7 linked regions of the Macaca fascicularis genome follow. The protein of the gene in region 5 purifies or fractionates together with the protein of the main gene of each other region. This does not show direct contact. Links are inferred from orthologs where the notes say so. Each region holds a gene or a part of one and is shown on either strand. Other genes may lie near its edges. The genes, in order: PHRF1, EIF3A, ZC3H18, ZC3H4, CSNK2A2, SAP30BP and PRMT1.

Region 1 (3,772 bases), on a different chromosome or scaffold from region 5:
GGGGTTCTCCTTCCTCTGCTCCTTGCTGTCCACGGGCCGGAACGTGTTACAGAAGCCGGGGCTGGAGAGCTGGCTGGAATGGGCCATGTTTCCAGGAATATTGATCCGGAAGCTCTCAAAGGTCGACCCAACCCCTTTCCCTCTTGATGGTCCCAGCGGGGCCATACTGCCATGGGAGCTGGGGGCTGGGGGCCGGGAGCTGCCTGTGTGCGTGCCGGGCTCCCGGGGGACCCTGCTGCTGGCCTCGCTCTCTGCCCGCGTGCCTCGCCCTGGCTGCCCGGCGCCCTCCCTGCCAGTCAGCCGGCTGATGCAGGCGCTGGGGATCTCGATGCTCTGCCCGTGGGCTGGGGCCGCGCCCCATCTGCCGCCAGCGTCCTCTCTCCTGATCTTTGGTATCCTGGGCAACTCAGAGATGTCTGTTCTTTTGGGCGTGGGTTTCAGGGGAGGCCCTGGCACCGCACGGCGACACGGGGGGTTCGAATCTCTGCTTGAGATCTCAGACGCGGCAGAAGCAAGGGGCAAAGTGTGCTTGTTGGTGCCGTTGAACCGGGGGCTGGGACTCTGTCTGAAGCCAGGTGCGCTCCCATTGGACAAGTTCCGAGCCTGAACCGACCCAGGGGTTGCTGACGAGTCCGGCCTCACCGGTGCGCCCGAGGTGCGGGCGGGGATGCAGGACCTGCCTTGACAGCTTAGCCCTGTGCTCTGTGGCCTGTTTCCTGAGGGGCCTTGGGCTGGGCTCCCTGAGGGCAGTGCTTGGGGCCGCAGGCAGTCCTTAGATCCTTCTTCCCCTCTGGACCGACTGCCTGAGTTTCGCTGAAAAGAAACTGGAGCTAAAAAACAAAAAAGTCAATGGCAATCATTTCCCACCCACTCTTCTTAAATGTCAGTGGTTTAACTTTTATCACAACTGGTTTTCTGTGAGGTCGTGCACTTTAAACTCCCGTTTGCCTGCTGAGGTGGACACCTCGTCTTTCCACACCCGGAGAGCTGCTTCAACAGCCGCTCTGTGGATGACAAAGTACAGGGCCTGAGGCCATTAGGATGCTATTAACCGGGGCAGGGGCAGTTCCCCAGTAGGACATGTTTTTTTTTTTTTTTTCTTTTTTTCTTTTTTTTGAGACGGAGTCTCACTCTGTCGCCCAGGCTGGAGTGCAGTGGCCGGATCTCAGCTCACTGCAAGCTCCGCCTCCCGGGTTCACGCCATTCTCCCGCCTCAGCCTCCCGAGTAACTGGGACTACAGGCGCCCGCCACCTCGCCCGGCTAGTTTTTTGTATTTTTTTTTTTTTTTAGTAGAGACGGGGTTTCACCATGTTAGCCAGGATGGTCTCGATCTCCTGACCTTGTGATCCACCCGTCTCGGCCTCCCAAAGTGCTGGGATTACAGGCTTGAGCCACCGCGCCCGGTCAGGACATGTTCTTTTTTTTTTTTTTGAGACGGAGTCTCGCTCTGTCGCCCAGGCTGGAGTGCAGTGGCCGGATCTCAGCTCACTGCAAGCTCCGCCTCCCGGGTTCACGCCATTCTCCCGCCTCAGCCTCCCGAGTAACTGGGACTACAGGCGCCCGCCACCTCGCCCGGCTAGTTTTTTGTATTTTTTTTTTTTTTTAGTAGAGACGGGGTTTCACCATGTTAGCCAGGATGGTCTCGATCTCCTGACCTTGTGATCCACCCGTCTCGGCCTCCCAAAGTGCTGGGATTACAGGCTTGAGCCACCGCGCCCGGTCAGGACATGTTCTTTTTTTTTTTTTTGAGACGGAGTCTCGCTCTGTCGCCCAGGCTGGAGTGCAGTGGCCGGATCTCAGCTCACTGCAAGCTCCGCCTCCCGGGTTCACGCCATTCTCCTGCCTCAGCCTCCCGAGTAGCTGGGACTATAGGCGCCCGCCACCTCGCCCGGCTAGTTTTTTGTATTTTTTAGTAGAGACAGGGTTTCACCGTGTTAGCCAGGATGGTCTCGATCTCCTGACCTCGTGATCCGCCCGTCTCGGCCTCCCAAAGTGCTGGGATTACAGGCGTGAGCCACCGCGCCCGGCCGACATGTTCTTAACCAGGTACTAGGGGCCGCACTCTGAAGCTGTGGGGCTCGGTAAGAACTCAGAGCTAACTGGGAAACTGCTCAAGAAGGGAAATCAATGGAGAAAAATGGCTGAGGAATAGTCCCCCAACTTCAATTACATCTTCTGTGACTGAGACATGGGCTGAGTGCTGGGAATAGCCTGAGGACCAGCAGCCCACAGAGGAAGGCAGCTGTGGCACGGAGGTGCTCACCCGCCCTCTTGGCGCTGAGGGAGCCATCACGGTGGATGATGATGTCACTGCTGCCCAGCATCAGGAGGCTCTGGCCCGATAGGATACTGCCCAGCAGGTCAGGCACTGGCTCCTCCTCCAAGTCTGGCTCTGGCACCGCAGCAGGGAGATGCCTCCTGTGGGCACAGACCCAAGGCCCTGCCATCACTGCCTCCCACAGCCTGAGGACCGGCACCCAGGCAGAGCCCTGCAGCAGGCAGGAGCCGGGAAGAGTGGGGCTGGGCGGGGCCTGCGCCTCCCCCACAGTCCTGGCTCCGGCTGCTGTTCTAAGAGGTGCCCACCAGGGCCTCCCAGAGGGAGGGAGGGAGCCCCACCCTCCAGCTCTGGCTCCAGGGAAACCAGGTGTTTTTGGGAGAAGTCACCTCTGGTGCCTTTGCCACCCCCAACTCCACCAACGGGCGGGAGGGGCAGACAAGCATCTTTACCTGTTCTGTTGGTTTTGGTCAATTTTTTTTTTGTTCTTGTGGCGAAACAAAAGAACTGGCCAAAAGGTGACCTCTGATAACAGCCTTATTCACCAGAGCCACTGCTCCTGCCCGAGGTGGTGTCCCTGTGCTGGTGGCTCTCAAGCCAGGGTGGGGGACAGAGGGGCCAACCTCGTGGAGCTGCAGCAACTCCAGTCCACGCTCACGGGCAGGCCGTGGCCTCTGACTCACGACAGGCTGCAGCACTGCCTCACGCCAAGAGCCGACTGATAAGCGTGACAGCTGAGGGGGGGTGCTGAGGCCACCCAGGGCCACCCTGGAACCCCCATCCGCTGCCCCACTGCTGCCCTCACCTCCCCAGAAGCCTTTGCTCTCACACACCTGGAAAGCCCCATGGAGACGGGCCTGGCCACGGGCTGGTGGGACTGCAGGGCTGACCGGGACAGAGCCCGTCTCTTGGCACTCAGAGGGGAAAGAGGGTTTGCAGAAAGTTCTTCACTGCTAGAGGGGAGAACACAGGCCAAAGGGAACGGGTGACTCCCAGCTCCCAGAACCCGCAGCCCAGGGAGACGGCACGGACGAGGATGGCCGAGCACTGGCCACGTGGCGGCACGTGTGATTCGGGCCCCGCACCAGACCTCTAAGTTCCACGCTGCCCACCTGCACTGAGTGTGGTGGTGGAGGAATGGTCACCCTCACTCACAAACACAAAACCTAACGCCTCCACATGCACCTCGGGTACCATGCCCACAGCCCCCAGAGAGAGGAGCGGGTGCCCAGGCAGGACCATCACCAGTTCGGTCACCTGTCGAAGGGGTCCAGCTCATAGGGGTCTCCAAACAGAGACAGAGATGCAGCTCCAATATCCGCTCTCAGCAGCCCCAAGGAGGGCTCCACTGGCTTCAACACTGATGGGATGCAGCTGCTGTGAACAGGCCTGCGAAGGCCCAGCGTCCGCGCAATTCGAGAGCGAGTGGTGGCTTCACTCTGAATCCAGTAACAAAGAAAAAGATGAACAGAGAGACGGGGATGGCATCTACGAGG
Region 2 (3,772 bases), on a different chromosome or scaffold from region 5:
AAAAAAGGGTTTTTCTTAATTTTCTATCTGTTCTAAGAATAGACTCTAAATACCTGTATGTGGATAGAAAGCTCATCCGTTAAACGTGTTTTTGCTAATATTCAAATTTCTCAATTGGGCTTTTAGTGGAATTACTTATCGCCTGAGGTGAGGAGTTCAAGACCAACTACTAAAGTCCAAGAATACTGTTCAGGAAGGGCAACGTCTTGAGACGTCTATAATTGTCACAACTGGGGGTGGTTGCTACTAGCATCTAATGGGGAGAAGCTGGAGATGCTGCTAAACAACCTGCAGTACACAGGACAGCCCCACGACTGAGAATTATCTAACCCAAAATGTCAGCAGTGCAGAGGCTGAGAAACCATGGCCTAGAATATACCATGTCATATAACAGGTATTTGTTACAAAATTTCAACATTATCCAAGTATAACATTCTTACCTTTGCATCTCATCTTGTGTAAGATTCTTTCTCATTTCTCTAGAGAGATGGTAAAGACGATGGAGTGTAGATGCATGAAAAAGAGCATTTCCAGATTTCCAAAACACAGTTGAGACTTTGTTATAGTAATTTGCCATCAACTGAGGTTTAGGTGGTTTTTTAGACAAGGAGAATAGCCCATGAATATCTTCCACAGCTTTGAATGCTTCCTAAAATTAGTAGTACAAATTAAAGTCATTGCATTCTATAACATGAAAAAAATCTAATTCAAATTTCTATGAAACCTACAACACAGAAAACATAAAAATAGCAAATAAAATACCTTTGTGTGGTTCTCTTTACTCATGTATAATATCTATTTTAGAAAACTGCCACAATTACAAAAACACTAACTCCTTAAACTTTTTAAAAGTTCTTTAGGAAATATTGGAAAGTAGACAGAGCAGACTCAAGAAAATATCGGCATATTATCCCATCACTTGGGACAATATAAAGAAAAAAATCTAGAAAGACATACAACAGGTTATTTCTGAGTGATAAGATAATGGATGAATATGTCTCTTCTTTTAATTTATGCATTTTTTTCTATAATGGAGCATGTTTACTCATCTTCTACAGGTAGTATTTTAAGATGGGTGTCCCTATAGAAAAGGAAACATGGGCAAGAACAAGACATCGAATCACACTTTCACTGGGCTCAAAGACTCCCAATCTTTAGTTTCTTCCTCTATAATTTCAATCAAATATTGTCCATCAAATATACAAAAGACTTCAAGGTCACATGACTACAAAATTATATAGAATGTTTTTGGAGGATTCTTAGAGAAAAAGGGCCAGGTGAGGACTAACTTCCTACCACCACCAAGATCTCCAATGCAAGACAGTCAGCTAAAGCACTACTAAGAAATCTAGAATAATCTACAGCAGCGCTTCTCCAACAATTAGTAAAGGATTCTTTTTTTTTTTCTAACCTCTTACCGAAGAATATAAAATACAAAATTACCACAAAAATGAAACAGAAAAAGTTCACTTTTTATCAGAGTAAACACACAAAAAATTTACAATAAAATTGCAACTAAGAAACTTTGCATATGCTTCTCTATGCTATACTTATTTCATCACAGACCAGACAGTTCACAAATGACACCAGTCATGAAACCACACTTCGAGCAGCAGTGGCAATGTCTTGTTTTGTACATCAAGAAACTTGCGTCTGAAAGAGATTATACGGTTTGGTCCACAATTCATAGAAGGCAACTAGAAACAAAATATTCTGAGATTTCTTGTTCAGAACTTTTCCCAGCCCATCAGGCAACTTTAATTCCTTACCTTATCTACTGAAATTAACCAATGCATACCAAGATGAAGCTATTCATTAAGGGGGGAGAAAAATAACACAGACTATTATTTCTAGAAAGAAAAGCTAATAGGTCCAACATACCTGCCACAATTCCATGCTGATAGCACTGTCCAACTGAACAAGTCTGGTTTCCAAATGCATGGACTGGCTCTCTGGATTATTAAGATTGATTGCCGTACTTTGGTTATGGTGGCGCTGAATCTGCGATAAGTGCATTCTCAAATTGTCACACAGTTTACGGAATTCAGCCTTACGCGTGTATTGGAGGCAGAATTTGAAAGCTATAAGCATAATTGTAAAATATATTAGGTATCTTCCACTATCTATTTAAATATTTGACTAGGTTTTACTTCACACATTAAAATCAGTTATTTTAACGGGACTCATCAAACTCATCATTAGTCTTTGTGATGCAATGAAAATCAACTTATTTCATCTAGACTATCTTTTGAGTGAACCCTAACAAAACCAAAAACATAATCATCGGTCCTTGCCTAGAACTAAAATGTGGTGCTGGCAGAGTTTACAAACGGGAAACTAAAATTTAGATCTAAGAGTCACCTTTCAAAGACCCACCACTTTAAATCCTAAGAGTAAAAATAATCTAGTCTGAAATATAATGAACTTTGATATCTAACTTACATGGAAAGCAACAAGGTTCTGTACTAATTAAAACTACATAATACAAATTGAGGGCTTATAGTAACCTAATTTCAACTGATTACAGATGGATGAACTATTTGTTCCCTGTCATTTAAATGGACACGTTAATTTTTTTACTGTCACATATGCGATACTGGATTATTTTTTAGATTTCCTTTCCCCTTAAAAACAGTATGTCTATTTTAACAGACCTAAAACAGAGATCCAGTTTAACTTCAAGTTAATATTTGTATCAACAGCCGCCAAAAAGTCCAAATTTACTTGTGTTAAAGTGAAAATTCAGGCTGGGCAGAGCTGTAATCTCAGCACTTTGGGAGGCCAAAGCAAGAGGATCACTTGAGTCCAGAAGTCTGAGACCAGCCTGGGCAACAATGCAAAATCCCAGTTCTTTTTTAAAAAATAAAAATAAATTTTAAAAAAACCCAAAGTAGAGGATTCAAGTTTACTAAAAAAAAAAAGGAAAAGTTTATTTTTTCAGTCACATGGAGAATTCCAAAAGGACTTTAAAATGTCTTTCATTGTTACTGATATTTGTGTAAAAAGAAAAAAAATTTTTCAGGTATCAATAAAATACAATTCACACAAAACTCCTTTAACGAGCAAAACAAATCCCTTAGTCATTTTGGTTTTGTTTTTTGTTTTTTTTTTTGTTTTTTGTTTTTTTTTTTGAGACGGAGTCTTGCTGTTACCAAGGCTAGAGTGCAGCGGTGCCATCCTGGCTCACCGCAACCTCCGCCTCCTGGGTTTAAGCAATCCTCCCACCTCAGCCTCCTGAGTAGCTGGGATTACCACAATGCCCGGCTAAATTTTTTGTATTTTTAGTAGAGAAGGGGTTTCACCATGTTGGCCAGGCCGCTCTTGAACTCCTGACCTCAAGTGATCTACCCACCTTGACCTCCCAAAGTGCTGGGATTACAGGTGTGAGCCACCACATCCGGCCGCAGTCATTTAATATCATGTGAATGCCAACATTTCAATAAGGATAAAAACTAGTTCATTTTAAGCACTTTTCAGAAAATTTACTCCTCAATTTCAAAGCACTTCACTCAGATTTGATCTTCTCATCTTACCTTGCTGGGCAATATCATGATAAAGGCGCTCTACTCTAGAATTGTTTCTAAGAAGGTCCAAACACTGCCTGTAAGACTCCCACAGGAATTTAACCCATGGAGTTAAAAGTAATCTGTCAGTACGATCCTGAGTGTCTTCACCACTTACAGCACTTAGGAGAACACTACAAAGACAGAAAAAAATGTTGAAAACAATTTTAGACAGTTTCCTACTTTGCCATGTGATTAAAAACCAAAAC
Region 3 (3,882 bases), about 30 Mb from region 5:
CTCGTGTCAGGAAGCAGATGAGGGACACGGGTGGGCCACAGGCGTGGGCCCCACACTGCGGCTCCTTGCATCTGATTAAAGGAGGTGCTGGAGGCCCTGGAGCGTGTACCTGGGAGGCCTCTGCCCAGGTGCAGGCCTGTGGCTTTCAAGGTGGAGAGCAGAGAGCGACAGTGGGGGCTCCTGGGGGGCTCTGCTGGTGGCCCCTGCTGTGGAACGTGGCATCACACATGGGGCCTGGCTCAGCAGGTCTGGGGCCTGCACACGGAGCCGGTGGTGGTCACTGCAGAGGTGGCAGCTGGGCTCAGGGCTGGGAGTCAGCCCCGGACCTCTTCCCCTCCAGCAGCTCCATAGCCCCTGCTCGGGAAGGTACCTCCATCTCATGAACCAAGGAACGCCCAACCCAGCCCCACAAATGGAGAAACTGAGGTGCAGTGCTTCCCTGAGCTGGGGTCTGAAGGCAGGAGCTGCTCCATGGCCGGTCCTCCCAGGGGGAGTGAGCGCGCAGCCACACCCTTGCCCCCCAGCAGCTCCCGAGTGCTGGGCCAAGTGCAGTGCACCACACAGAGGCAGACGGGGCTGTGCTTGGGCAGAGGGCGCACACACCACAAGGGCAAGAACAGCTGCTTATCAAAATATTTTATTTTAGGAGACCCCTCAAAAAAGACCCTCCACATTAGACAGACGCCCCAACAATACCCTTGGCCTTTTTTTTTTTGGTCTTTTCTGTATTTTTTCCTGTTTAAATCAACTAAAACAATTTGATGCTTAAAATAAAAGACAGGAAGTATTTCCTGATGAGACTTTAGTCGAGAATATAGATATATTTCTGATCCGGGGGCGGGTGATCGGGGGCGGGGAGGAGAAGGAGGTGCCACCAGTGGTTCTCGAGGTTCCATTTCTCAGCTCAGGAGGGATCCTGGCTGCCTGGACCCGGGCTGGGGACGCAGAGCTGGGGCTCCACAGGCCCAGGCCTGACCAGGGCCAGGAAAGAAGACGGTGGAGGAGGAAAAGAAGGCGGGGCTGGCGGCTGGGGCTTGTAATTTACATGAGAACTGTGCTGGTCACTCGCGCTGTCTGTGTCTGTCCTGTGGGACTTCTGCTCTGGGGAGGGAGGCTGGGACTCAGCGTCGTCGTCATCTCCTGTGTGGCTTCTTTTCCAGCTGAGAAACTTTTTTTTCTTTTTTACTTTTTAAAAAGAATCACAGCCAAAATAAGACATTAACTGCAAAATCCAAAATGGCTGCGCTTACCCTATGTATAAAAATGCGTCCAGTCCGGTCAGGGGCATGGCCTATGCTTTCCCGGGGATCTTGGCCCGCTTGCGCGCAATAGCGTCCTCCACGGCCTTCAGCTGTTTCAGCAGCTCCTCCCGCCGCGACAGCGTGCTGGCCTTCCCTGATTTGGTGCTGGCGGCGCCGGGATCCGAGGCTTTGCCGGGCACGCTCGTGACCTTGCTGGAGCTCTTGGACTGTGGTGACAGCTGGCGCTTCCTACAAGGGGGTGGGGAAGACCTTGAGCCCCCAGAAGCCACGTCTGAGGTGGAAGCAGCAGTGCGGTGCCCTCCCTGAAGGGGAACTTCCACTGAGTGCTCAGTGGCCACCAGGAGAGGCAAGGGGCTCCCGGGATGGCCAGGGTCCCATTGCCACAAGCAGGCCTGGTCCTAGCCACTGGCTGCCGGGCTTTGTGGAGTAGAGACTGGGAGGGTCCTGGGCTGGCCCCACACAACCTGCTCTTCTTCCCACCTCCGTGCCCAGAGCTCTTTGCCCAAGGACATGGGGAGCAGAGGGCAGCCTCCAGCCTCGACCAGGGCAGGAGTGTGTGTGCGGGAGTGGGGTTGCCCTTCCCTGTCCCTGTCCCTCACCACATCAGCCCAGCAGGAGCTACAGGAGCTGGAGCACCTCCAACCTGGCCCAGTGCTAGCCCTGCTGCTGCTGGCCTCCCTGGGAAAGAGGCTCAGGCTAGCCACCCTCGGTGTGCCCAGGGCACATGCTGGGTCCACTCACCTGTCAGCCGGGGCTGCAGGGGCTTTGGAGTTCTGGCCTCTCTGTCGCTCTGGCTTCGGGGAGCCCAGTCTCCCACCTGACTTCCGGTCCCGAGAACCTGGGTGATAGGTACAGAGTGAGACCACCCTCCTGGCTTACAGGGGATGGCAGTGTGGGTGGCCTCACCAACACCAGGGACTCACTTCTAAAGCCTGAGGCTGCTTAGTTCACCTCCTTCATTTTTATAAAGAAATAAAAAGGGAAGAGCCAAGTAGAAGAGAAGAGACATGTGGACACCAAGGCATCCGGAAATGAGGCTGAGGCCAAACCTGGGCTCCAGGTGCCACCAAGCAGCCAGTATCTTGCGCAGAGAGACAAAACTCCTTCCTAGCTTTGAAGAAATTTATCACATGGGGCTTCAAATACAGAACAACAAAAAAGACATGGCAGTAAAGACATACAAGCAAAGCCGAGAGATCACGAGTGTCACTCTGGCAATGTTAGGAGGGAGGCGCGGCAGCCTAGGCAGGGTCCACTGCCCGGCGCAGGCCCAAGGCTCATGCGTGAACAAAGGTCTGCAGACCCCAGTGGCCCTGGTTCCAACCCCAGGCAAGGACAGCGAGGCTGTTCCAGACTAACCACACAGGACACTGCCCTGGGCTTAGGGACAAAGGTGAGCAGCTTCCTCTTCCTACGCCCGACAAACTCAGAGAACTACTCAGGAAGGAGTCTGAAGCCCCCTGCCTGTTCTCTGTGTCTGGGAGTGGCTGTGCGGGTGGCCAGGCCCCCTTGTCCTCTGGTTTAAGTTCCACCCATCAAAGCCAGCCAGGACAACCTCCCTGTCTTTCCATCTGGGCCCCAGCTCTTGGGGTGTGGTCAGGACGGCTGGGGGTCCCCGAGGCCCTTTCAGGTCTATGTGGCTCAGCAGTAACACAGACACCGTCTGCCCTGTCACTCAGTTCACAAGAACCCAGGAGGGTCTCCAGAGGGCACGAGGCACGTGGGTCCAGCTGTCTTCTGTCAGTCAGACTGAAGAGATTTGCAAAAATGGAAAAACCAATGCCATTCCTGCTCATTTGTTTTGGAAAATATAATTATATTTTGCAAAAATGACACGTGTAAGAAAAATACAGGCCGGGCGCGGTGGCTCAAGCCTGTAATCCCAGCACTTTGGGAGGCCGAGACGGGCGGATCACGAGGTCAGGAGATCAAGACCATCTTGGCTAACATGGTGAAACCCCGTCTCTACTAAAAAATACAAAAAACTAGCCGGGCGAGGTGGCGGGCGCCTGTAGTCCCAGCTACTCGGGAGGCTGAGGCAGGAGGATGGCGTGAACCCGGGAGGCGGAGCTTGCAGTGAGCCGAGATCCGGCCACTGCACTCCAGCCTGGACGACAGAGCAAGACTCCGTCTCAAAAAAAAAAAAAGAAAAAAAAAAAAGAAAAATACAGTTGCTCTTGTTGCCCAAGCTGGAGTGCAATGGCGCAATCTCAGCTCACTACAACCTCCGCCTCCCGGGTTCAAGCAATTCTCCTGCCTCAGCCTCCTGAGTAGCTGGGACTACAGATGTGTGCCACTATGCCCAACTAATTTTTTGTAGTTTTAGTAGCAACGTGGTTTCACCATGTTAGCCAGGCTGGTCTCGAACTCCTGACCTCAGATGATCTGCACACCTTGGCCTCCCAAAGTGCTGAGATTACAGGTGTGAGCCACCATGCCCGGCCTATTACTGTTATATTTATTTATTTATTTATTTTTGAGACAGAGTCTTGCTCTGTGGCCAGACTGGAGTGCAGTAGTGTAGTATTAGCTCACTGCAACCTCCGCCTCCCGGTTCAAGTGATTCTCCTGCCTCAGCCTCCTGAATAGCTGGGATTACAGGTGCCCGCCACCATGCCCG
Region 4 (4,350 bases), on a different chromosome or scaffold from region 5:
TTAAAAACAACAACAACAAAAAAGTCTTGCTGTGCTCTTTAGCACTAATCCTATGACGTTGAACCAATTACTTAAAACACCTAACTTCAGTCTGCAAATGGGAATTGCAGCAGCTTATTTTAGGACGGTTATGAGAGTCAAAAGATTTTGTTTGTACACAGCCTATGACACCGGCCAGTGTTTCTATCTCCGCTATTTGTGAGCCTTCTCTGGGTCCTCCTACACCCCAGGTCCTTAAACTCCCCTGATGGACTACCAAGCCCCGCCCCTCTCTCCTGCAAGGATGACGTCATCGACTGAGTTGTCGAGTGACGTCACCTCCGGGCTGGCTGGGCTTCATCGCTTCTCCGGAAACCTCCGACTCTCGGCACCTGGCCTCCAGCTTTCGGTTATTTTTTTTTTTTCTCTCCGTAGCTTGAATTCCTTCCCTCCCATCCTCCCACCTAAAACTATCGGCTCTTCCCGCCTTCCTTCAAACTAGCAATTTTCGGTTCTTCCCTCTTGCTCTCGGGCGAATTCCTGAAAGTCGTTTATTCTCTTAATTAATCGCCGCTCCAGCCCCGCCCGTTCAGCTCATTCTCTTAATCGCATTACCCTGGCTGCTTTTCTTTCGGCTGTTTCCACCTCCTGCCACCCACCCAGACACCGCCTTCGGCTCTTTCCGGACCATCTCAATTTCTCCTCCTTCCCCGGTCCCAATCGGCTTAGGCTATTTCTGGCTCCCCTAGGTTTCTCATGCTCTCTCTAGCCCCACCCCATCACCAGCTTCGGCTCTTTTCGGCTCTCCCCCGTCGCCTCCTGTCTCCTGCTCAGCTCTTTTCGGCTATTTCCGCCTCCCCTCGGACTCACCCTTTGCCTTCGGTTCTTTCCGCCGGCCCTCAGGCAAGCGGTCTCTACCCCTCTCCCGCACGTGACGCGGCCTCCGCCTCCGCCTCTCAGTTCCCCCTCCCACCTCACCCTTCCTCCCGCCTCAGCCTCTAGGCTGGTCCGGGCCGAGCCGCCATTTTGTGTCAATTCCTGATTGCGGCGGGGGCCGGGCAGCCGGGAGACCAGTGGCGGGCAGACAAGGGAGACAGTCGGCCCGTCTCCGCGGCCCGTTCCCTCTCTCCCTTCAATCCTTTTTTTCTTTTTAACCCTTCCACCCCCTTCGCTGGCTCTCCTCTTCTCCCCTTACCCTTCGCTTGCTCCATCGCGCGCGGCCCGCGCTAATTACACCCAACCACCCACCAGTGTCCGAGTCTCCCGGGTCTCCCGCCCCCGGGCCCGCGGGGGTGCGTGGGGGGGGGGCTCTCGCCCCTATGAGGGCCCCGCGCCAGTAAGCGAGTGACCGCAGGGGTGGGCTGCGGAGAAAGCAGGCGGCGAGCGGCCCTCCGAGGCCTAGGCCGCGCGGCCTACGCGGAGGTCAGCGCAGAGGTGATTCCGAAACCGAAAAAATATATACCCCATTCCCATCAGGAGCCCTCCGAGCTTAAGTGTGCCCCTCCCGCCACGCCCAAGCAGTCCTTTTTCGTGCATTAACATCCCCTCCCCCCCAAAGGAACTATGGAGGCCGCGCCCGGGACCCCCCCGCCGCCGCCATCAGAGTCGCCGCCGTCGCCATCGCCGCCGCCGCCATCAACGCCTTCGCCTCCTCCGTGTTCCCCCGACGCCCGCCCGGCCACCCCGCACCTCCTCCACCACCGCCTCCCGCTCCCTGACGACAGGTCAGGCCCCCGGCCGGGCCGGGGCTGCGTCCCCGGGGGGAGGAAGAGGAGGAGGAGGAAGGGGGGCGGCCGCCATGTTGGGCCGGGCCGCGGAGGAGGAGGAGGAGGAGGAAGGGCGGGGTCGGTGGGTGTCTCTCGATCGCTTGCTCGCTCGCTCTTTCTCGCTTGCTTTCTCTCCTGGCCTCATGCGTTTCCCCCCCCTCGCGGCGTTCGCCCGCTCTCCCTCGCTCTCGCTCTGTCTTTTTTGGGCGCCATGCTGAGGGGAAGGTGAGGAGGCGCCCCTCGGACCCCCCGCGCCCGCCCGCCCGCCCTGGGGAGGGGGCGCCGGGGGGGGTGCTGCGGAGGCTTACGGGGGTCCTTGGCTGCCCCTACGCCCGGAGCTGGCAGCCACGGGCCCGCCTGCTCGTCGCCTGGCTTCGGGGAAGGGGATGGGGGAGGGGCTCCGGACCCTTTTTGGGGGGATCTCGAGCAACAGCCCCGCTCTTAGGGGTTTGGGGTTGGGGGTCTCCCAGCCCCCGGCAGTATCCTTTCTCCTGGGGGAGGCACACCCTACCCTACTTGGATGATAGGTACCTTAGCTTAGGAGGCAGAAAGTGGGGGTTCATTGCAGTCCCTTCTCCATCCTTGTAATGGGGGGTCATTTGGGTGGGTGCTTTATAGCACTTTTATTTTTTGGCGGGAGGTGTTTTGTAGCTATTCCCTAGAAGGCCGAATTGGGGAGTGGGGGAGATGCATCTCCAGCCCTTTTGATGAAAACCCCTGCCTATTTATTTAGAGAAGATTCTTACCCGTGTTTTTGTTAAAGGGCAGGGGTTCTCTCGCTTTTCGTAGGTAGGTGACGTGAGGGAAGACTAGCAGCCTTGTTTTGTGGGGGTAAGGTTTGGTTTCCCTGCCTTGTAGGGAGAGGAAGTTGGTCCCGCGCTTTCTCGTGGGGTTCCCCCCTCTGTCGGGGTAAAATGGGGCACCGTCTCTTCCGGGAGAGAGAAAAGGAGATTTCCTTGTGCTTTGGCAGGGCGTTAAAGGAAGCGCCCCCTTCCCTTTATTAAGTGCGAAACGCGGCGCCCCCCCCCCCCACGCCCTTCTCTGGCTGGCGGGTGATAATGGGGTCAGCCCGGCGCGTTTCAGGGCGAGGTTGGGGCCCCGTTTCCTTCCCCTGCTCGAGCAGAAGGAGTTGGGGTGCAGGGTTCGCCCACTGTTTCCTGGTGGGGCAGAAGAGGCGGCTGGAGAGTAGATTTGGACACGGACGGTGGGTTTCAGCCGGCAGGAAAGCGAGTCTTGGAGTGGGGGTGGAGAGGGGAAAAGAACGCGCTGGACAGATGGCTACCCCGCCGCAGCCCTGGCTGGGGAGCCGCTGAGGACCCTCCCTTGGCCGGGGGTCTCAGCCAGGGCTTCCCCTGCTAGGGTCTACGGCCCCTTCTCCCTACTCCCACCTCCCCTTTCCCCTTTCTCCTTCACAGACCATACTTTGCCTTTTAAAAGAAATGCCACCCACATTCAGAGACACAAGTGCAGCAGTTTGGTGAGCTTTTTACAACATTTGTTTTTTTCTGTTTTGTTCTAATTAAATGTATCGTCCTGGGAATCGCAGCCCATCGCAGCCCGACTCCAAGGAAATAAACAGATTAGCAAAGGTCTGTTCGCAAAGCCCTTGTTGGGCTTCCGGGCCCCCTCTCCGGGGGCAGGTGCATTACTCAAAGGTGCTTACACGCTTTATTCGACCTCTAAGGAGTTCTCTTATGTCAGAAGTGTATGTCTTACAATGGGTTGGGATGGTAAGTAGCCTCTTTTATTGAGTAATTCAATGATCTCCCTCTTTTTCTCCCTTTCCTGCCTGCCTTCCTCCTCGCCTTTAGACCAAAGTGATGCTTGAGAGAGTGAGTTGATATGTTCGAATCAGGATTCTAACCCTGTTGAGCCCTTTTAGACTTGCACATCCTTTCAATGTTTAATTTTTAAAATTTTACGTACACAGTTTTCTCCAAAAAAAAAAAAAAAGTGTGTTACTGTAACATGACAAAAATCGATATAAAAGGCCCGTATGTTTTCGGACTCTTGGCATCCCTCTTTCCATTTCAATCCATTGCTTTGTCTCCAGCCTTCATCTCTGAAAAGAGTGGATACTTCAAGTCCATTTGTAGGAGACAAGCTTACTGAATTTGATTTATGATACATGTATTCAAGTTAATGGTTTCCCTCCCTCCCTGCCCCCCAGAAAAGATTGGTTCAAGTAGCTCCAATTTTCTCATTTTACTCCAATGTCTCTTGTGGTGATGGACGTTAAAATTGAGCAAGTCATTTGTAAAGTACTGTTGAAGCACAAAATCTGTAAACTGTGTCAAGCCCCCATCTCTGCCCGTCTCCACTGCTCCTTTGTTCGAAAGCACATGTCTGACTGTGAAAAGTTGATGCAAACGTGTTACACGCCCAGTCATGTTGGAGGGAACACCTCCTCCAGCCCCCAGTCCCCCCGGCCTACACGTAACAAGGAAAAAACAGAAACAGAAATGACTTGCAGAACCAAACACCGTACTTCTGATGTGTTTTACAAGCATAAGTTCCGTTAAAAGACAAAACACGTTGAAGTTGCATTTTCCCTCTTTCCCACTTTTGATCCCTGACATACTTTGAGAGAGAACCCTGGCCCTCT
Region 5 (4,393 bases):
GCTTATTAAAAACTTATGCTTATATATATAAAGCTAATGTATGGCTTTTTAAGGTAATTTCCCTGTGACTTAAAAAAAAAAAAAACCTTGTGACTTCATAAATGCAATACATATTTAGGGAAGAGAGGAGTCACACTCAGTATCTTCAACATCAATTCCTCACTTCTCATCCCCAGTGTGTCTGAGAACACAAGTAACTGTCTATTTCTCTTTACTGCAATTCTGCTTCTTCATCACTAGGCTAGGATGTTTTGAGTGATGGAGTTAATCATTTTTTCTGAAAGATTACGAGAAAGCATAAGCCTGACCCCTCACATTAAACAGTGATTACCTACACAGCTGCTCTAACACACAGAAACAGCTTTTCAATTCCACATTCTTAGTCCACAGAACCTCTGCAAAAGGGCCACACTGGAAATCACATGTATGCAAAGTGCTTACGTCACTCTTCCGTCTTCTCAATCTCTCACTAAATGACATGTAACCACATGAAATGATCTGGCAATAACGAAGACCCATCACAGATTCTAAGAACTACTTTTTACTATAGCCTATAAAACATTATTAAAGCTATACAATTAATGTTACCAGAAGGAAAATTTAGCCAACCCTTCATGCTCATTAAAATCATCTTCATGGAAGAGATAACAAAAGACATATCATTATCAAACTGATTGCTAAACCATATATTAAAATCGTTTTGTTCCAATTATTGCTTTAGTAATAATACGTGAATTCTTCTACATTTTTACTAGCTGATAAGCAACAATGGCTCTCTGGCTTCCCAACAAGGCTTCTCAGCACTACTGGCGCACTATATCCATCCCACCTGAAACTTTACTGCCAAAGGAAAAAAAAAAAGCAAGTGATTATCTGCTAAGGAATTTCCTTCCACTTGGGTTTGACATACATTTCTGAAGTCGCTCCAATTTTTTCCAACTTTCTTTCTGGAACAACGGAGAGCATGCACCAAGACTAACAAACACAGTGCTCAGGGAGCCCTTAAATTGAGAATGGCTTTCCTGTCTTTTGAATACCTATTTATTTTCTAACAAATGGAGCCCTTTAGGAATTTTTGCTTTAGGCAATTTACTTTTTAGAACAAACACCTTCCTGAACTTAGATTTGAACTAAGATCTGTGACCAGTCTGCACATTTTCTTGAAAGTTCACAGGAAAATGGGGTGGAAAAAGAAGTAATGAAGGGACATCAGATAAATAAAATCTGAGCGCGGGCTGGGCACAGCGGCTTATGCCTGTAAACCCAGCAATTTTAGGAGGCCTGCAAGGAGTCCTTTTGGAGGACTGCTTGAGCTCAGGAGTTTAAGACCAGCCTGGGCAACTTGACCAGACCCTGACTCTACAAAAAAATTTTAAAAATAACTGGGCGTGGTGGCATGCACCTGTAGTCTCAGCTACTTGGGTGAGATGGGAGGATCACTTGAGCTCAGGAGTTGAAGGCTGCAGTGAACTATGATCTGCACTCCAGCCTGGGTGACAGAGTGAGACTGACTCTAAATAAATAAATTAAATTAAATTCAAGTTTGCATTGCCCATTCTAGAACGTGACTGGGGTAGCTTACAACCTTCTGCCCTGTGGGGGGGAAAAATGTTACATACCACTCATAGGACACTCACCTTGAGGATTTTTACAACCACTCTCTCATTGTTGGTGATGTTAATGGCCTCAAATACTTCACTATATTTTCCCCGACCAAGTTTTCGAACCAGTTGGTAATCATCTTGATTACTGTAAAAGGAAGACACACACATAAATGCCAGGACTGGGGGTTAATCTAAGCAAGCCTATGCTCACTGTATACGTCATTCAGCCGCTTCCAACAGGCAAACACTTGGAAGTGTCTATACATCACGTCACAACTCATTCCCTAAATGAAAGCCACGACGTAATCTTGGCTCCCTTCACTCTGCAGAGCTCCTAACCTAATTGGTCTCTCCTAACTTGGAAAGATGGGGCAGGAAGGCAACGCTCTGAGCCAATCCAGAGGGCTGAGCAAAGCACCCGTCCTGAAGGCCTAGAGGGTGCCCCCTGTGCCCCGCGGCTCCCCAGCACCTGCTTCCCGTTTCACACCCTGAGGGTAGACAGTGCCTGTTTTAAAAAACTGGACGTCTTTAAGAAATTTCCTCCCACCACCTCATCTCAGAAAACCGAAAAGGCAGGGAATTTTAATAGCTCCAAAGGACAGCTGTTGACTTCCCACCCCAGTGGAAACCCAGAAGCGTGAGGAAGGGCTACTCCCTCACTTTTACCCGGCGTCGATCCCTGGACCCCACACTTCTCCCCGAGTAAAAAAGCATTCCTTGGGGGAAAGAGGTGCGCAAAGCGGGGAGAAAGGGACAAGGGGAGGGAAGAGGAAGACGAGGACATGTGCGAGAGCTGGACCTCTGCCTCCCTGCGGGCCCGCGGAGGGGTCGGCGGGAGACACCACCGGGCCCGAGTGCGGTTCGCAGGGGGTGGCCGGGCGGGGGCAGGGGTCAGCGGGCCCGGCGGGGGGCGGCGGCGGCTTTACCCCCAGCTCGGGACGTGAGCCTCGTAGTCCCAGTACTCGCGGCTCCTCAGGCTGTTCACCTCGGCGTAGACCCGGGCCCTGCTGCCCGCGGCCGGGCCGGGCATGGCGGGCGGGACCGGGGGGCGGCGCGGGGCGCAGAGGGTGGCGGCGGCGACGCGGCGGGGGGCGCGGGGCGGCGGGCGGAGGGGGCAGCGGGCCGCCGGGCGCTGGAGGAGGAGGAGGAGGAGCGCGGCGGCGGGCGGCCGCGCCAGGCCGGGCCCGCGGGGGCGGGCGGGCTGGGGGCGCGGGGGGCGCCGGCCGAGCCGGCCCGGCCCTGGAGCGGCCGGCGGGGCGGCGGGGCGGGCGGCGCTCGCGATCCGCGGCGGTCTCCGCTCGGCTCGCGGCCCCCAGGAGGCGGCGGCAGTGGCGGCGGCGGCACCGGCAGTGGCAGCCACCGGCCGGGAAAGGGGCAGCGGCCGCGGCAGCGGAGAAGAAGGAGGAGAGGAGGAGGAGGCGGAGGAAACCCGGAAAAGGGGCCGCGCTCGCTGGGAGCGGCCGCCGCCCGGCCTGGGGCCGCCCAGGCTCACAGCGCCCCCTGGAGCGCGGGGGGACCCGCCGGGCGGTGCCGGCCCCGCCCCGGCCCCGCCCCGGCACGCCCCGCCGCCTACCTCGCGCCCTCCCGCACCGTCCCGCACCCTCGCCCTCCCGTCGCCCCAGGTCGGACGGTCCAAATCGCCTCACCCTCGGGCTGGCCTGACTTCACGCCACAGGAGCCCCCCTTCCACTGGCCGTTGCCCTAGAGCCCTCGCCCGCGTGTCTCGACCCTTTCACTGTCCTTGGAGACCCTACCCCTAGCCCTGCACTCACCCAGCTTTTACCCACCCGACACCTCCCATACTGACCCTATTCTGACCCTCCTGTCACCCAAACTGTCAAGTCCCTCCCCAGGGCCTCGGTCAAACCTCAGAACCTCTCCCACCTCAATACTTCTCCCTTTCCCGGAGACATACCCCTCCTTCCCCCTCTGGACCCTGCCCTGTTAGGGTAGACTCCTCAGTCCCCAAAGCTTCCCACCCCCGTCATTCAGAGTCCTCACAAAACCTTTCCACGCTTCCCCCAAATGCCCTTCCAGAGCCTTCCCTGAATATCCACTTTGGTCACTTGGTTAAGCTGGTGTCGGCCAGGTTGTGCCACTGCAAAGTTACAATTTTTCCCTTTGTGATTAATTAGTTATTTGTGGGGAGAGACTTTGAGTGTGTAAATCTCCTGTTTGTGTTTAGGAGGAGGGAGAGCAGAATTGCAAATCCGACCTGAAGGGACAGCAGGGGTTGGGGATGCACCAGGGTAGGTGGTCAACTGAACTGGCCTGGCTTCCAGTGTTGCTTGCAGCCCTGAACACCCTTCTCCTTGGACCTTCTAGGCCCTTCCTTTGTCTTCCTTTCCCATCCTGCATCCTTTATCGACAGGACCTCTGCACCCAGTGCAGGTTGCTCTCATTCCAATCCCTTTTCACAGTCTGTTTTCTAGATGAAATCCTGGGCCTTCCTCCTTGACACAGCTAAGAGCACAGACTGTGGAGTCAGATCTATCCAGCACTGCTACTTAGAAGCTGTGTGACCTTAGGACAATTACTCAACCTCTCTGTGTCACAGATTCTACAGCACAAAACCAGTAATAGCACTCACTTCACAGGGCTGCAAGGAGAATTAAACAAGGTAAAGCATGTGAAACATGTAGGATGGTGTTCAATATTAAGATACTATGTGTACAATATGATTATTCCCAGACCCAGGGCCTTTCTCTGATCATGCCTCCCTCCCTGAGACCACCACGCATCCATCTTTTGGTTCCTTCCATCCTCCAAGCTTAACTAGGAGCCACCAC
Region 6 (3,772 bases), on a different chromosome or scaffold from region 5:
GTATATGGGAGGAGGGATGAAAGGCTACCTAATGCCTCATAGTAGGAGTCCTCAGACCAGCCATGGGGATCAAACATATCCTGCAAAGGAAAAGGCGAAAGTTGCAGTTAGTAGGAACCGTCATATGACAAATGACTCAGAAACCCAAGTTCCTTGCCTGAGTCTTTCCACAGAGCTTCCTGGTCTGGGGTCCCCTTACCTGGGGCTCGGCTGTCATCCCTGGTCTCTAGCCAAGGGGCAGCTGGCAAGTGCTGAAGAACACGGGAGCATGAAGCCCCCATCCAGTGACCCCCAGGAGCAGCAGGTCCACACATGTCCCCACCAGTCAGGGGCCAGACACCAGGTCGGCCACTGGAATCTCTTTATTGGACTATTTCAGAACAATAGGGACTCAAACACAAGACATGGGGACTGTGCTTTCAACTAGCGGTGCCACTACATGGACCCTTCTGTGGCTGCAGGTCAAACCCCATGGAACAAGCACAGGACCCCGGGTGTCCCCATCACCCTCCAGCTCCGTGTGCCAGATGTACCTTTGGGTAGTTGGTGCCAAGCTCGTCAATGGCACAGAACTGGATCAGCTTCTCGTAGATGCTGAAAAAACAGCACAGGCGTTGAGCAGGCACAAGTCCACGTCCCTGCCTGGGGCCTGAACCATCCAGCTCCTGGGGCTGACACAAAACCTTCAAAACCTTTAAATCCAGCTCAGCTGCTCTAAGCAAGCTTCCTGATGGCCCTACACCCTCCCAGGGAGATGGACCTGTTAACTAAGGGCCGGGAGGAGCATGGGGTCAAGGTGATGGCTGAGTTTTGTCCCACTGACCTTCAGTCTGCATGGTTGGGTTGGGCTCACCACACTCAGGCCCACACAAGGGCCATGCTCTTTCCCCCGTAAGTCACTAGCTTGAGCATTAAATGGAATAAGACCAGACATAGCTCTGGTCCTAAGACCTCTCACCTATATGCAAAAATCAGCTTTTTAGAGTTGAAAGATGAACCTATAGTAATTGTCTAGTCCAATTCCTTCCATGAGGACAGGGGTCTTGAGAGGTCATGTGCTTTAGGCTCAGAGCAGGGACGAGAACTCAGCCAGGTCTCCCTCATCCCCGTCTAGGTCTCGGTATGGACTGCTTTGTGTTTTGTCAGGATCTTAAATGGCAAGCCTCTGGCTGGGTTAGCATAGTCTGCCGTGTCCAGCAGGCACTCAGTGTAATGACAAGTCTGGGTGATGGTTTGGGCTCAGGGCTTTTCCTCACCACCTCCTTGGGGACGTCCTTAATCCAACATTAATAACTCAATAAACTCTGCAGGTTCAAGAGAAACTTACCTGGGGTTCCGAAATTCTTTCTTTCTTTGGATAATGTAGTTCATATCCATTCCCTCCTTTATTTTTCGTTCATAAAGCTTCTGGATCTTGTCCTATGGAAGAGGAGCAGAGGGGTGTATGACAGAAGCCCACCTCTCCACCATCCCAGCCCCTGGTCACCAGCTACGTGTGCAGCATGAACGTGAGGCTCCAGAGCCACGCAAAGCCCAACTTGACCTCATGTTAAAATTTAACCTATTCTTGGCCGGGCGCGGTGGCTCATGCCCGTAATCCCAGCACTTTGAGAGGCCAAGGCGGGTGGATCACGAGGTCAGGAGATCGAGAACATCCTGGCTAACACGGTGAAACCCCATCTCTACTAAAAACACAGAAAATTAGCCAGGCATGGTGGCAGGCACCTGTAGTCCCAGCTACTTGGGAGGCTGAGGCGGGAGAATGGCGTGAACCCAGAAGGCGGAGAATTTAACCTATTCTCAGCCGGGCGCAGTGGCTCACGCCTGTAATCCCAGCACTTTGGGAGGCTAAGGTGGGTGGATCACAAGGTCTAGAGATTGAGACCATCCTGGCCAACATGAAACCTCGTCTCTACTAAAAACACAAACAACATTAGCTGGGTGTGGTGGGGCACGCCTGTAATCCCAGCTACTTGGGAGGCTGAGGCAGGAGAATCGCTTGAACCTGGGAGGTGGACATTGCAGTGAGCTGAGATCATGCCACTGCACTCCAGCCTGGTAACAGAGTGAGACTCTCTCAAAAACACGAAACAAAAAATTAACCTATTCTCTTTTTCCACCCTACCTTTTGCCCAGAATTGCACACAAGTAACATAAACCAAGACCAGGCTGCTTTCACTGCTGAGGTTTCCTGACACTCTCTGGATGACAATATAGTGAGCAGTGAAAAGATCACAGCAGAGGAGCCACGGAGAAAAAAATGAACAAAGCCCCAATTGGTTAATCAGTTCCAGAATCATCCGAAGCAGGGTGTAGGGTACTGGTGTTGATATGCAGGGAATGAATCCTGGTTTTAAATTTTAACATGAGGTCAAGTCCTCAGCAGAACTGTGAACCACAGGAGACTTCGGAAGGGCTATGGCCTTTTCATGGGAGGCAGGAGTAGTTGTTTGGATTCGGTCTTGCAAGCTTTTTAGATTGTGTCTTTTACAGGGAGGCGCACAGGTGGCTGGTCCGCGCTGGCTTATCGAGGGTATCAAGGGTTAACTGCTTCTCTCTCACCCAAATTCCCCACAGGTCATGCCTGGCTCTCAGTGGGAGAGTGGAGAACCACCACGGGGGATGCAGGCTGACCTACTGCGGCCAGTGCCACAGGCGTCCTCAGGAAGGGGGTCCTCCCCAGCCCATGGACATGATGCCCAAAGTAGATGGCATCAGCATGGCCCAGTGCCAATGAAGAGGGCCAAGACACCAGAGCCACCTCTGGTAAGAGCAGTCTCAGCCAGGAAGGCGGGCACTGGTCCAGGGCAAGATCTACCTGCAGCCTCCCCCTGCAGTGGGGCTTAAACAGAGATTCTCCAGAAGGGAAACACCTGAGGCACTGTGCCAGCAAAGCGGGCGGGCAGGCCTGGAGGGCCCAGGTGACAGCGTTTAGGACATGTCAGGAGGGGTGATCCACTCCCCTTATTAGAGGCCAAATCTTTCTACCGAGACTGGCCAGAGCAAGAGCTGAACCGCAGAGGGAGGTCTGTGATATAATCGCCGAGACTGAAGAACTTCTGTCCTCCAAGCTATCTCCTCCAGGGTCATGGAGGGAGCCATATATAGAAGGCTCAGCAACTTGAGGAGAACCCATGTCATACAGATGACTTGGCTGCGTCTCCTGGGCCGTAAGATCAGTTCTACCACCCCAGATGAACTAAAATGTTTGCTCAAATGCCATGGTTTCCACCATCAGGAGGGTCTAAAGAGGAGGCACATTTGGCACTGCAGGCAGTGCGCCAGCTGTCTCTGCCTGGCGGGTTGCTGGAGTTGTCCTTACAGGCTGGAGCTTGCTGTCTGGTTGTCTGGCATGGAGGGTGACGTGATTCTGGAGGGTGGTGGTGGGGAGACGACTCAGCTATGGGAGGAGACTTCCGGGAAGGGAAGATAATCTGCCCTGCACCCCCAGTTCTGACTCTGGCCCTCCCCCAGCGTGCTGCATTCCTTAGCCTCAGGTCCCATTAGTCATCCATCCGTTAGGGTGGTGTCACAGGCTTGCTGTGCAGCCAGAGGCCCCCAGTGGAAGCTCCAGGATCAAAGGTGAAGCAGGTGGCCCAGGAGCCATGATTGTGCAGCCTTGGGTGCCTGTTCTATTGTTCATCACAAGGGAACCCACAGAGGGACAAGGAGAGCCACGGGCTGAACCCCAGATGTCCCCCCCGTGAGTGTAACTGCACAAAAGCTTCGACTCCTTGGGATTTGAAAACCTCCTGTCAGTGCTGCATTCTGT
Region 7 (3,772 bases), on a different chromosome or scaffold from region 5:
CCACTCCCGGTGACTCCAGGCTCCCGGCCTTCCATCCTCCTGCCTGCTCAAACCCGCCACACTGGACCTCTCTGCCCAGACCCTCTCTCCCAGAAGACCCCCCAGCTCCCCTGGAAACCCCCTGATCTCAGGTGATGGCAGCTCCTACCAGGTGCTCAGGAGGAAAAAGGGGGGAGTGGAAAACAAAAAGCTGCCTTTCTCCTCCTCTCATGCCTCCCACCTGGGCTAGCAAACCCTGTGCGCTCTACCGGGGCCGCCTCTTGCCCTGGAGCTCACCCACGCCAACACCTGTCTGCCCTGCTCCCAGCCTGACAGAGGTCACCTCCCACTGGCATCACCATGTCACTGATCCCCTTGTGTAGACTGGAAGCACCAGGAGGACAGGGCTTTGGCCTGGGTCCCCAGGCCCATCTTCCAGTAAATGCTAAGAAATCTGCTGTGTAGACAGGCGTGGGGCTGAGGGGCTCAGGGACCCGGGAACAGGCAGAGGCACTCGCCCCTGCCAGCTGCCCCCATCCGCCCCAGCTACCCCCATCCCCTACGCTGCCACCATTCCCCCCTACCACTGCCCCTATCCATGCTCCCCACCCCGGCTGCCACCCTCCTGCCCAGCTGCCCAGAGCCTCACGTTGTTCTTGGCATTGGGCCGCATGCCGATGGTGCCGAAGATCTCCTCGCCCGTCTTCACGGTCAGGTAGTCCTCCATGTAGAACACTGTCTGCTTCCAGTGCGTGTACGGGGACTCAGGGCCTGGGGGCGCAGGCGGGTCAGCTGGCCTTGGCCTGCTGCCCTGGCCCCAGTCTTGTGTTCCCTCTGTTGGAATGTCCACCCCCCTGACAGCTGACGGGACTGCTGTCCGTGAGTCACCTCCCTGTCATTCAGCTTTGGAGACAGGGACCGTGTCAGGCTTTTGTGGATGAGGAAACTGAGGCACTGCACACTCAGATCACTTGCTCAAGGCCACGTGACTGCTACATGGCAGAGCTCACGCTGGAACACACATGTCCCCATGGCTCCCTCTGCCCGTTTCTGTCACCCCCTCCACTATGTGGGTGCCCCTCGGCCCTGGCTCAGGAGCAGCCCCCAGCCCTGCGGGCCCCGCCTCACTGGTGGAGAAGCCCGTCCTCTTGTGGCAGCGCGTGAACTCGATGTTGAAGTAGGCCACCAGGGCGTGCACGTAGTCATTCCGCTTCACTTGCAGGCAGAACGGGGAGGTGAACGTCAGGTCTTCCACCTTGACGGTGTAGATGTCCACCTCCTGCAGGACAGGAGAGGGTGAGCTCCGGGATGTGTCCCCACCTCGCTTCATCCCCTCCTCCCTCCCTCAAGCTCCCAGAGGGCCTGTGACCTCACTGTCCCCTTCCCGCTGGCCCTCCCTTACTGGCACCCAGCCTCAGCTCCTCATTCACTCCTCATCCTGACTGTCCGGCTCCCAATAAACCGCCTCGGTTTGAGCCCAGATTCTTTGCTCCCTTCTCTCCCGCACCCAAACCTGGCGCCGCCACCCTAACTCTGTCCAGAGCCCACCCCGCCCCGACCCCACCTGGCCAGACCTCCTGGGAATGCAGGCACCCTGCTCCCCCCTCTCCGCGCTCCCCCCTCTCCGCGCTCCCCGCTCTCCGCGCTCTCCGGGCCGCGCTCCCCCTCTCCGCACTCCACCCTCTCCGCGCTCCCCCCTCTCCGCGCTCCCCCCTCTCCGCGCTCCCCACTCTCCCCAACCCTTCACAAGTCCACCAGCATGATGGCTTCAAACGGCAATCCAACCGAAAACCCTGCACCAGTTCCGCTGGTTCTCAGGAGGGTGGCCTGGGTGGGGTCCCTGCCCCTCCAGTCTCCTCTCCATTCCCACTCAACAGCTTCCTCCTCCCCACAGGAACCCCCGGCCAACCACCCAGCTTCACCCGGCTCACACATCCCAGCTCAACAAATACTCGTTGCCTTATTTTTTTTTTTTTAAACAGGGTCGGCCGGGCGCGGTGGCTCAAGCCTGTAATCCCAGCACTTTGGGAGGCCGAGACGGGCGGATCACAAGGTCAGGAGATCGAGACCATCCTGGCTAACACAGTGAAACCCCGTCTCTACTAAAAAATGCAAAAAAAAAAAAAAAAAAAAACTAGCCAGGCGGGTTGGCGGGAGTCTGTAGTCCCAGCTACTCGGGAGGCTGAGGTAGGAGAATGGCATAAACCCGGGAGGCGGAGCTTGCAGTGAGCTGAGATCCGGCCACTGCGCTCCAGCCTGGGCGACAGAGCAAGACTCCGTCTCAAAAAAAAAAGAAAAAATAAATAAATAAATAAACAGGGTCTCAGAAGTTAAAAAAAGTTAAAAACAAAACAAAACACTGTCACCAAGGCTGGAGTGCAGGGATGTGATCACAGCTCACTGCAGCCTTGAACTCCCAGGCCCAAGAGATCCTCCCGCCTCAGCCTCCTGAGTAGCTGCAACCACAGGCACATCTCGGATCCCAGCCTGGCCCCCTGCTCTTCTGCAGCGTGTGCACCCGCTCATCGCCCCAGGTCCTGCCTTCCCGTGTACGGGCTGTGGGCTTTAGCTACCAGCTGCGGGTGTGTCCTCTGCCGGACACCAAGTGCCAAACGTGGTTCTCACACGGCAGCGCTCACAAAGATGTTTAAAGGATGAAACGTCTTTCCTGGGCCCCTAGCACCACCTCTGGCTGGCAGGTCAGGCTCTGAGACCTCAGGCCAACACTCTGGGCCCCAAAGTCCCATGCCAGGGCCAGGTGATGGCCTCTCTTTGGTTTCAACCCAGGGGGCACCTGGCCATGCCCACCCCCCCCCCTCACCTTTATGAGGCAGGCATTGGTGACCAGCTGTTTGGGGTCCACCACATCCACTAGGGGCTCCTTGATGGCCACATCTTTGATGCAAGACATGTCGAAGCCATACACGTTCTCCCACCCTGGGGAGGCAGGCAGGGAGGGGGTGAGCCCGCGGCAGCCCACCCGGGGCCCCGCCCGCCCGCTCCTGGGCCACGCTCACAGTGGATCTTGTAGTCTTTGTACTGCCGGTCCTCGATGGCCGTCACATACAGCGTGGCCCGGTCTGGGAAGATGAGGCCATCGGGCGCCTGCAGAGGGGCAGGGCGAGGCATGAAGGGTGGGGCCTGGCAACGCTGCCCTGACTCTTGCCCCCGAGATGTGACCTTCTGCCCTGGTCTGAGCCACCCTCATGTCGCAGCGGCACTCACCCCTCACCCCCTGGTCTATTTCCCACACGGCCGCCAGAGGGCACCCAGGGGCACCTCAGTCAGCTCCTGTCCCTCGAGGTTCTGGGGATCCTCAGACCCTCCCTGGCTGCTCTGAGAGGAAAAGCAAAGTCGCGCGGGGTCCCATAAGGCCCCACAAAATCTGCACATGCCCTGTCACCCCTTACCTCCACTGCTCCTCCTGCTGCCCTTCTAGACCCTCCTTCCACACGGGCCTCCCTGCTGCTCCACATGCAGCAAGGGAACACCTGCCCTGGCCACCCCTCCACATCTTCATCCAGCTCTCGGTCACCTCACCTCTCCCGGGGCGGCCTGCTGGGGCCGGAGAACCTGGTCTAGTGCCCTGCTATAGTTTTCCTGTTCCTACAAACCCCCCCACATCGCACCATCTCCCACCAGGGTCTGTCACACCTGGCTCGGGCTGTGGCCTTCTAACACCTTGCAGCCACACCCCCATAGTAAGTCCCGTCTGTGGGAAAAATTGAGTGCTTTTGGCCCCCAGCCCATGCGAGCTGCACCCGTCTGCTGGGGCCTCACCAGCCACTTGTCC

The links.
Region 1: the proteins of CSNK2A2 (region 5) and PHRF1 purify together in Homo sapiens (affinity purification with mass spectrometry; 3 studies listed by BioGRID and IntAct, counting the BioPlex papers as one, with this or other methods). This does not show direct contact. The link is inferred for Macaca fascicularis from reciprocal best matches to the Homo sapiens genes CSNK2A2 and PHRF1.
Region 2: the proteins of CSNK2A2 (region 5) and EIF3A purify together in Homo sapiens (affinity purification with mass spectrometry; 3 studies listed by BioGRID and IntAct, with this or other methods). This does not show direct contact. The link is inferred for Macaca fascicularis from reciprocal best matches to the Homo sapiens genes CSNK2A2 and EIF3A.
Region 3: the proteins of CSNK2A2 (region 5) and ZC3H18 purify together in Homo sapiens (affinity purification with mass spectrometry; 3 studies listed by BioGRID and IntAct, with this or other methods). This does not show direct contact. The link is inferred for Macaca fascicularis from reciprocal best matches to the Homo sapiens genes CSNK2A2 and ZC3H18.
Region 4: the proteins of CSNK2A2 (region 5) and ZC3H4 purify together in Homo sapiens (affinity purification with mass spectrometry; 3 studies listed by BioGRID and IntAct, with this or other methods). This does not show direct contact. The link is inferred for Macaca fascicularis from reciprocal best matches to the Homo sapiens genes CSNK2A2 and ZC3H4.
Region 6: the proteins of CSNK2A2 (region 5) and SAP30BP purify together in Homo sapiens (affinity purification with mass spectrometry; 3 studies listed by BioGRID and IntAct, with this or other methods). This does not show direct contact. The link is inferred for Macaca fascicularis from reciprocal best matches to the Homo sapiens genes CSNK2A2 and SAP30BP.
Region 7: the proteins of CSNK2A2 (region 5) and PRMT1 purify together in Homo sapiens (affinity purification with mass spectrometry; 3 studies listed by BioGRID and IntAct, with this or other methods). This does not show direct contact. The link is inferred for Macaca fascicularis from reciprocal best matches to the Homo sapiens genes CSNK2A2 and PRMT1.

Annotation. Positions count from the first base shown.
Region 1 is NC_088388.1:505,466-509,237, reverse strand, and holds part of PHRF1 (PHD and RING finger domain-containing protein 1), read right to left. Parts: intron 3,716-3,772; coding exon 3,534-3,715; intron 3,230-3,533; coding exon 3,110-3,229; intron 2,420-3,109; coding exon 2,265-2,419; intron 831-2,264; coding exon 1-830.
Region 2 is NC_088383.1:128,077,393-128,081,164, forward strand, and holds part of EIF3A (eukaryotic translation initiation factor 3 subunit A), read right to left. Parts: intron 3,698-3,772; coding exon 3,534-3,697; intron 2,082-3,533; coding exon 1,882-2,081; intron 650-1,881; coding exon 441-649; intron 1-440. UniProt on the Homo sapiens protein: RNA-binding component of the eukaryotic translation initiation factor 3 (eIF-3) complex, which is required for several steps in the initiation of protein synthesis.
Region 3 is NC_088394.1:84,536,696-84,540,577, reverse strand, and holds the end of ZC3H18 (zinc finger CCCH domain-containing protein 18), read right to left. Parts: intron 2,101-3,882; coding exon 2,004-2,100; intron 1,491-2,003; coding exon 1,292-1,490; 3' UTR 622-1,291; downstream 1-621.
Region 4 is NC_088393.1:55,112,033-55,116,382, reverse strand, and holds the start of ZC3H4 (zinc finger CCCH domain-containing protein 4), read left to right. Parts: upstream 1-1,527; 5' UTR 1,528-1,542; coding exon 1,543-1,970; intron 1,971-2,575; exon of another isoform or gene 2,576-2,803; coding exon of another isoform or gene 2,804-2,949; intron 2,950-3,160; exon of another isoform or gene 3,161-3,184; coding exon of another isoform or gene 3,185-3,222; intron 3,223-3,288; exon of another isoform or gene 3,289-3,452; coding exon of another isoform or gene 3,453-3,475; intron 3,476-4,350. UniProt on the Homo sapiens protein: RNA-binding protein that suppresses transcription of long non-coding RNAs (lncRNAs). LncRNAs are defined as transcripts more than 200 nucleotides that are not translated into protein.
Region 5 is NC_088394.1:54,293,240-54,297,632, forward strand, and holds the start of CSNK2A2 (casein kinase II subunit alpha'), read right to left. Parts: upstream 3,014-4,393; 5' UTR 2,635-3,013; coding exon 2,531-2,634; intron 1,750-2,530; coding exon 1,638-1,749; intron 1-1,637.
Region 6 is NC_088390.1:82,105,487-82,109,258, reverse strand, and holds part of SAP30BP (SAP30-binding protein), read right to left. Parts: intron 1,420-3,772; coding exon 1,328-1,419; intron 595-1,327; coding exon 534-594; intron 81-533; coding exon 29-80; intron 1-28. UniProt on the Homo sapiens protein: Plays a role in transcriptional repression by promoting histone deacetylase activity, leading to deacetylation of histone H3.
Region 7 is NC_088393.1:57,657,582-57,661,353, reverse strand, and holds part of PRMT1 (protein arginine N-methyltransferase 1), read right to left. Parts: coding exon 3,760-3,772; intron 3,085-3,759; coding exon 2,997-3,084; intron 2,917-2,996; coding exon 2,801-2,916; intron 1,259-2,800; coding exon 1,108-1,258; intron 751-1,107; coding exon 629-750; intron 1-628. UniProt on the Homo sapiens protein: Arginine methyltransferase that methylates (mono and asymmetric dimethylation) the guanidino nitrogens of arginyl residues present in proteins such as ESR1, histone H2, H3 and H4, FMR1, ILF3, HNRNPA1, HNRNPD, NFATC2IP, SUPT5H, TAF15, EWS, HABP4, SERBP1, RBM15, FOXO1, CHTOP, MAP3K5/ASK1, MICU1 and NPRL2.